2 linked regions of the Macaca mulatta genome follow. The protein of the gene in region 2 binds, or shares a complex with, the protein of the main gene of each other region. Links are inferred from orthologs where the notes say so. Each region holds a gene or a part of one and is shown on either strand. Other genes may lie near its edges.

The links. The genes of interacting proteins can lie anywhere in the genome.
Region 1: TERT (region 2) and GAR1 share a complex: the UniProt entries of both Homo sapiens proteins name them as parts of the telomerase holoenzyme complex. The link is inferred for Macaca mulatta from reciprocal best matches to the Homo sapiens genes TERT and GAR1.

The regions. Positions count from the first base shown.
Region 1 is NC_133410.1:119,117,614-119,121,360, reverse strand, and holds the start of GAR1 (H/ACA ribonucleoprotein complex subunit 1), read right to left. Parts: upstream 2,716-3,747; 5' UTR 2,486-2,715; exon of another isoform or gene 2,441-2,485; intron 2,431-2,440; exon of another isoform or gene 2,238-2,430; intron 2,087-2,237; 5' UTR 2,075-2,086; coding exon 1,861-2,074; intron 293-1,860; coding exon 138-292; intron 1-137. UniProt on the Homo sapiens protein: Required for ribosome biogenesis and telomere maintenance. Part of the H/ACA small nucleolar ribonucleoprotein (H/ACA snoRNP) complex, which catalyzes pseudouridylation of rRNA.
Region 2 is NC_133411.1:2,405,884-2,409,530, forward strand, and holds part of TERT (telomerase reverse transcriptase), read right to left. Parts: intron 1,916-3,647; coding exon 1,720-1,915; intron 1-1,719. UniProt on the Homo sapiens protein: Telomerase is a ribonucleoprotein enzyme essential for the replication of chromosome termini in most eukaryotes. Active in progenitor and cancer cells. Inactive, or very low activity, in normal somatic cells.

The DNA of each region.
Region 1 (3,747 bases), on a different chromosome or scaffold from region 2:
CTCCTTCATGGTCCAATCTGTAGCAATCCTGTCTAATTTAATGAAGCAACAAGTCTAATTTACACTTAACCGCCTCCTCACAAAAATACAAATAGCAACCTTTGAATATTATTAGGTCTTCCAATGAAAAAGGATACAAAATCTCTAAGTTGTCCAAATATTTCATCCACTTTTCCAATTTGTTCTTTGTTTTCTAAGTAAACAGGAGCATTGAAATAAGGCACCTTATTTTCATCTGTGGTACATTTACAAACTATGTCATCTTCACAGGGATGCAGGAACTCTCCTAATACTGAAATAGGACAAGAAAATATTAAAACACAGAACTATTTCAAACGATACTGACCAACTTCTTCTGGAAGCTTTCTTCCTGGCTACCTGGGACTTCACCATACCTGCTCTCCTCTGAGGCAGAAGACCACAGTCATTAAGAGTGTGGACTTCCTGGGCTGGTATACCAACTCCACAACACACTAGCTATGTAACCTAGGAGAAGTTACCCACCCTTTCTCTAATTCAGTGTTTCCTCTTTAGTAGACACTAGTAACATATAATGTACAGCTATACCTAATATACAGTAATGTAAGGACTCAATGGAATAACCAATTTCAAGTGCTTAAAACAGTGCCTGGCACATTGAGACCATTCCACATGTAACAGTTATCTTATTAAAATTTATTATCTGATTCAAAACTCTGCTTCATTCTCTTGGTTATTCCTTTTCTTCACTCCCTTTTCTTCAACCCCTAAAAGAATTACCCTTTGTTCTTTTTTTTTTCTCTTGCCTCAGAACTTTCCTATTCCCACTACCACCTCTTTAACAATGATTCATTGTTTTCAAGGACATTTGGAATCTCAAAATAACTACCTTTAGTTCTAACTAACTAGACTGTCCCCCTAAACTAAAATAATTAACACATTCCTGCAAAACCAACTCTTCATTCCTATCACCCAAGCGCAAAACCTGGAACCCTTTATTATCAGCATTAGCTAAGTTCTACCGATTTTGTTTCCTTTGAAATCTCTCTCCTATCTAACCCTTCCTTTTTTTCCTCACCATCCTGAATCAGGCTCTCAATGCCTCGTGTATGGACTGGTACAACAGCTTGCAGGCTGGGACCTTTTATTCTAGAAACTGCTCCTTTCAAACCATCCTGCATACTCATCCAACCATTCTTAGACACTCTTCACCCTCTCTCCTCTTTAATGTAGTAAGTTTCACTCTCTGTGACTTCCATTCCCATCTCATTATTAATTACTATAAAACTATCCTAAATGGGTCTTTTTCTCGACTTCCTCTTTGGCAGTTTCCCTCTCAAGCAAATTGTTTTCTCACTTATCTACTTTTAAGTAGTAATGGAAAGCATGGGCTTTGGAGTCAGAATACTTGGCTTTGTATTTCTTTTTCTGTACAGACAGGGTCCTTGCTTTATTGTCCAGGCTGGTGTCTAACTCCCGGATTCAAGTGATCCTCCTGTCTCAGCTTCCCAAGTGTTGGGATTACAAGCGTGAGCCACGGCACCCAGCCTGTATTTCAGCTATACTTATATTTCAGCTATAAAAACTTAACTCTAAATCATAGTTTTCTCATCTGTAAAATCGGGGAATTAGGGATAAGTACTCACTATTACCTATTTAATATCTTCCTGTCAACCCTGAAGTTCCACTTCCATGATGCATTTTAAGTATCCCTCAGCTTTCTTGATCTCCCCACCCCACCCTTACATGCTACTGTACGATTATGTCAGTTTACATCATTCTCCACACAGGCTTGTGTATCCCAAACTTGCTGGACTAATAACACAAACCCACAACCCACCCCTATTCCTTCAAATAGGCTAAATATTGAAGACTGCATACACACTACACGTTCTGGAGGTCCTTGGTCTTGGCCTTTGTTAAAGCCTCCGCGGCCACCCCCTCGTCCAAATCCTCCCCTGCCGCCGCCTCTGAAATTGCCGCCGCCTCCACCGCCGCTTCCACCTCGGAAGTGGTTGCTGCTGCCGCCTCGGTTGAAGCCGCCACCTCCACCACCTCGATTAAAGCCTCCACGACCTCCGCCTCGAAAAGACATTCTCTCTCCTCCCTGGTGAAAAAAAAAAAAACGACCCGTGTCTTCTGATCACTGTAGCATCTGAGTACACTCCAACCCCTCGGAGCCGCGGTGAGAACACCATAAAGGGGACAAAAGCAGCCCTGTCACCTCACCCACGGTCAGACAGCCAGTGACCACCAACCTGATGGGTGAAGAGTTTACTTCCTCATGGTCTCCTGAGCGCCGACCGACCAAACATACCAGCCTTGCCGCCCCAGGATTAGTACCTCCTCCCCCTTCAGACAGCAAGGTCTTCGCACTGCATCCCCTTCCTTCCTCCCTCCCTCCGGCAGCTGGGTTCCGCGTCCACCATTTTCAAATCCTCCGGCTTCTACGGTCACTCACCGGCGCCACGTGCCCCTCTGGCCCTGGCCTTACGCGCACACCCACCTACTGGGTACTTCCGCCGCGCTGGAACCTCCTCGGCTACCGTACAGCCACAGAGTTTTTTAGACCAGAAACTGGAATAACTGGTTTGCAAAAAAAAGGTAGTCACGCGCGGAACCAGCGACACTGGTTCCAAAACAGCCTTTAGCTTTGGAAAAGTGGCAATAATATCTAACCTTAACCACTAATTTACAACAGAGAGGTCAACTTGCCTAACGCCGCGCCGTGGAAGTGACGTATAATAGCTGCGTCCTTCGCAGCACGACGTCCCGGAAGTGCTGCGGCAATGTTGCTCTTGGAGATAGCTGGCGTTAGGGATCCGCCTTCTCTTCCAGAGGCGGGGTGGGTTTCTGTTTGGTTCCCGCCCTGACTGCCAGAACAACTGCCAGCACCTTGCAAGAAACAAGGTTAGTTTTTGAAGTCCGTGCCGACTGGCTGGGCGCATTTGCTTCTCAGACTAAATGGTGCCCAACAGCGCTCAATAGTTTGTTGCTAACTTCAGCAACTGTGTGGACAGGTCTCTGAGGTATCTGAGCCGCGCTATGTCCAGTGGATCTGGTCGCCTCAGAACCTGTCACAGCCGGCGGAAGCGTTTGTCTGAGTTTCTTGTTTCTTCCCGACCTTTTGATTTTCGCACCACTGAGCGCTCAGCTGTGCTTGTTCTTTTGCGCTATGGTCTCACTAATTAGAGGGAAAAAAGCAATGCATGTGTTTGTGTAATTTTAAAGAAACTATGGTGTCTTATAGAAAACCAAACCATCATTTTTATCTTTTGTACCGGGTATTCATTCAAGTATGTTTTGAGCACCGACAGGATGTGAAGCGGACTGTGCTGGAGGCTCCTCTCCTTCTCGTCTTAAGCCCCTTATATTTGACATCTGCTTCCTCCACATTCTCCAAAGCTTCTCTCACAAATAAAGGTAGTCACTTCCCATTTATTAAATTTGGCTGGAGCCTTTTACAACCAAACCCTCTGAGACCTTACCTTGATATTGACATCGTGTTTAGAAGAGGGTGGAACTTGGTACCTATCTAACTGAGAGGGTTATTGTAAGGGGGATTTTAAAATACCTTTGTAGGCGGGGTGCGGTGGCTCACGCCTGTAATCCCAGCACTTTGGGAGGCCGAGGCGGATGGATCACTTGAGGTCAGGAGTTCGAGACCAGCCTGGCCAATACGGTGAAACCCCTTCTCTACTAAAAATACAAAAATTAGCCGGGCATGGTGGCGCACACCTGTAATCGCAGCTACTCGGGAGGCTGAGG
Region 2 (3,647 bases):
CAGGCAGAAAGAGCCGCATCCCTTCCAATGGAGAGGGCAGGGGAGGCTGCTCAGGGCAGCTCAGCCAAGGAGCAGAACCAGCTCCCGTGAGCCCACCAGCTCCCTGACACCTCTGCCCTTTGGTGTTTTCTCCCAAAACCACCCATGGGGGAGTGGGGGGCTGGAGTGGCCACACCTGGACCTGGGCATCTGCGGATGACGGCCTAGTGCTCTATGGTCGCTGGGCCCGAGGGTGCTCCGGGGCTGGTGCCCTGACCCCAGGCCGCAGGCCCAGCCGAGCACAGGAGAGGCACAGTACCCTGTCCAGGGAGGAGGGGCCTCCGAGGCCCCTCAGGCAGAACATCAGCTCCAGCCGTGACAAGGAGCGACTTGGGGACCACCACGTCTGTCTGCTCCTTCCTGTCACCCCAATTAAATTCTTCCCAAAACACTGGTCAAATGACCACGTTGGGTCACACACCATTCACTATGTGCAATGTCTAAGTAGGGCACATTGTGTATTAACTCGTTCCCACAAGGAAAGCCCTGACTCTCCCCCAGATACAGGAGGAAACGGCCCCAGCCCCACGTCGGGGTCCCCAGCCCAGAGGCCGTGTTACCTCTGATGAGGTCTGCTGCCAGCTTCCTCTGCAGACATCCTGATTTGGGGCATGGGGTGTGAGAAGCCCCCCAGGGACTCGAGTGTGCAGAGGAGCCGGGGAAGCCCTGACCTTGTGACTAAAGAGTCCTCACCGAGCCCTCCAGTCAGCCTGGGTGGGACACAGAGAAGCTAATATCATGGCCTGGGCTCAGCCAGGCTGATGTCTCCCAGCCCAGCACTCCAGTCCCTCACTGACGCAAATCCAGCTTGAATCTGCCACAATCCCTCACACTCTTATCAGCTGAACACTGCAGACAAAATCTCGCAGCCATTCAAACGCAGCCACCTAGAAGTTAGCTCATGATGGACATCTCCTACCCCGGGTGCTCCCCACACAGGTGCTCCCCACAGTGAGTCACCAAGAGGGTGGGATTTTATCCTCTCGTGACCTAAATCCAGCAGATTAAAGATTCATGCAGACCAGCATGAATTAAAAGACAATCGGGGGCCAGGCACAGTGGCTCAGCCTATAAACCAAGCATTCTGGGAGGCCAAGGTGGGTGGATCACCTGAGGTCAGGAGTTCGAGACCAGCCTGGCCAACATGGCAAAAGCCCATCTCTATTAAAAATACAAAAATTAGCCAGGCGTGGTGGCAGGTGCCTGTAATCCCAGCTACTTAGGAGGCTGAGGCTGGAGAATCGCTTAAACCCGGGAGGTGGAAGTTGCAGTGAGTGAAGATTATGGCACTGCACTCTAGCCTGGGCAACAGAGCAAGTCTCCATCTCAAAAAACAAAAAAAAAAAAAAAAAGAGAAAGAGAGAATCGGATCCACATCCCGAGGAGGGGCAAGGAGGCTGGTGGTAGTGTTTCCATCCAATATAAACCGCTTCTGCTTTACAGACCCCAGAGACCACTTGGCATAAACTCCTGATTTCACAAGTAACAGAAAGTGAGCTCCGGGCAATCAGAGCCCAGCACAGAATCCACTCGGGCCAGGCCTGTGATGGGGGCCCTGGCTCCCAGCCCAGAGCCGCACAGCCAGGGAAGCACCGGCGCCGGGACGACAGGCGCACGCTGAGGCCGGGGCTGGTGCTGCAGGACTTCGAGAAGCAGGGGACCAGCGTGGGGGTACACTACCTGATTCCAATGCTTTGCAACTTGCTCCAGACACTCTTCCGGTAGAAAAAGAGCCTGTTCTTCTGAAACGTGGTCTCCGTGACATAAAAAAAAGACCTGAGCAGCTCGACCACATACACACTCATCAGCCAGTGCAGGAACTTGGCCAGGATCTCCTCCCGCAGGCGGTGCTCCGCGGCCGGCACACAGCCCACCCCTGAAACGAGAAGGACACCGCACATCCAGCTCACCGCAGGGCTGGCGACCTCATCGCAGACCTGCACCATCTGGTACGACAGCCATGGCCACGGGGAGCCCAGCAGGTCCAGGCTGAGATGGCCGCACACGGGACCCACACACGGGATCCCGCAGATCAAGCACAAAAAATGTCACATGTCCTGTGAGTGACGCTCCCACCAATGACACCCTAAATGATGAGCTGTGGACGTGCTGGGCTTCAGTAAAATTATTATTACGTTAATTTCACCTTTTCTTTTTTACTTTTTTAATGTGGCTGCTAGAATTTTTTTTTCTTTTTCTCTATTTTTTTTTTTTTTTTGAGACAGTCTCCCTCTGTTGCCAGGCTGGAGTGCAGTGGCGCAATGTCAGCTCACTGCAACTTCCAACTCCCTGGTTCAAGCGATTCTCCTACCTCAGCCTCCCAGGTGGCTGGGATTACAGGCACCCACCACCATGCCCGGCTAATTTTTGTGTTTTTAGTAGAGATGGGGTTTCACCATGTTGGCCAGGTTGGTCTCGATCTCCTGACCTTGTGATCCATCCGCCTGGGCCTTCCAAAGTGCTGGGATTACAGGCGTGAGCCACCGCGCCCAGCCTAGACATTTAAAAATGATCCACGTGGCTCATGTCATGCTCCTGTTGGATGACAATGGCTCGGAGCCTCATCCTTTGTCCTGGTCCCTAAGCAGAAGGGAGGAGGCAGACACTTCCCCGCCAGGCAGCACATCGGGGCTGGCACCAGACCGTAGGTTTGTGTGATTTCAAACTCGTCACCACGGAGCCCAGATCCCAACGTGCCTGGGGTTTTCCAGGCTGAACCCAGGCCGAGCGGACGCTGCTGTCACCCACTGGCTAAGGAACGCCGGCCACGTGGTGCTCCAGACACTCACGGGCCAAGATGACCGCCCTTCTCGTGAGTCTCCACATCTTCATCTGTGCATAAGCAGAGGTCCCCGGACGTCACTAGAAGCCATGGAGGCCACAGTGCAGGTAAAGCTGGGGTTTACCAGCAATAACAAGACAGAAGAACCAGGCAAAGGACAAGGAAGGGGACCCCAGAAGGCAGGCCTGAGACAAAAGACAGACAGGGAACAGAGGAGGAAAAGCAGGGCAGGGACAAAGCTAAAGAAACACCGAACACGGAAAACAATATTAATAATGGTTACCTTGTGGGTGTGTCAAGATACCCAAGATAGAACTAAGTCAGCAGGGAAAATAGCACATAGGCTGGGGGTGGTGACCAGAGTTAAAATATACTTAAGGCTCTTACTGCTCAGGACAAGGGTAGCAATGTTTCAGACTTCATTTTAAAAGATCAGGGTAGGCCGGGCGCGGTGGCTCACGCCTGTAATCCCAGCACTGTGGGAGGCCGAGGCAGGCAGATCACTTGAGTCAGGAGTTTGAGACAAGCCTGGCCAACATGGTGAAACCTCATCTCTACTAAAAATACAAAAATTAGCCAGGTGTGGTGGCGGGCACCTGTAATCCCAGCTACTCATGAGGTTGAGGAATGAGAACTGCTTGAACCCAGGAGGCAGAGGTTGCAGTGAGCCGAGGTTGCGCCATTGCACTCCAGCCTGGGTGACAGAGTGAGACTCTGTCTCAAAAAACAAAAGCAAACAATGACAATGAAAAGATCAGGGGGTAACACTAAGCAAAGGGAAATAAAAGCAAATGCCCAGTGACCAGGAGGCAACGACAGGATCCAC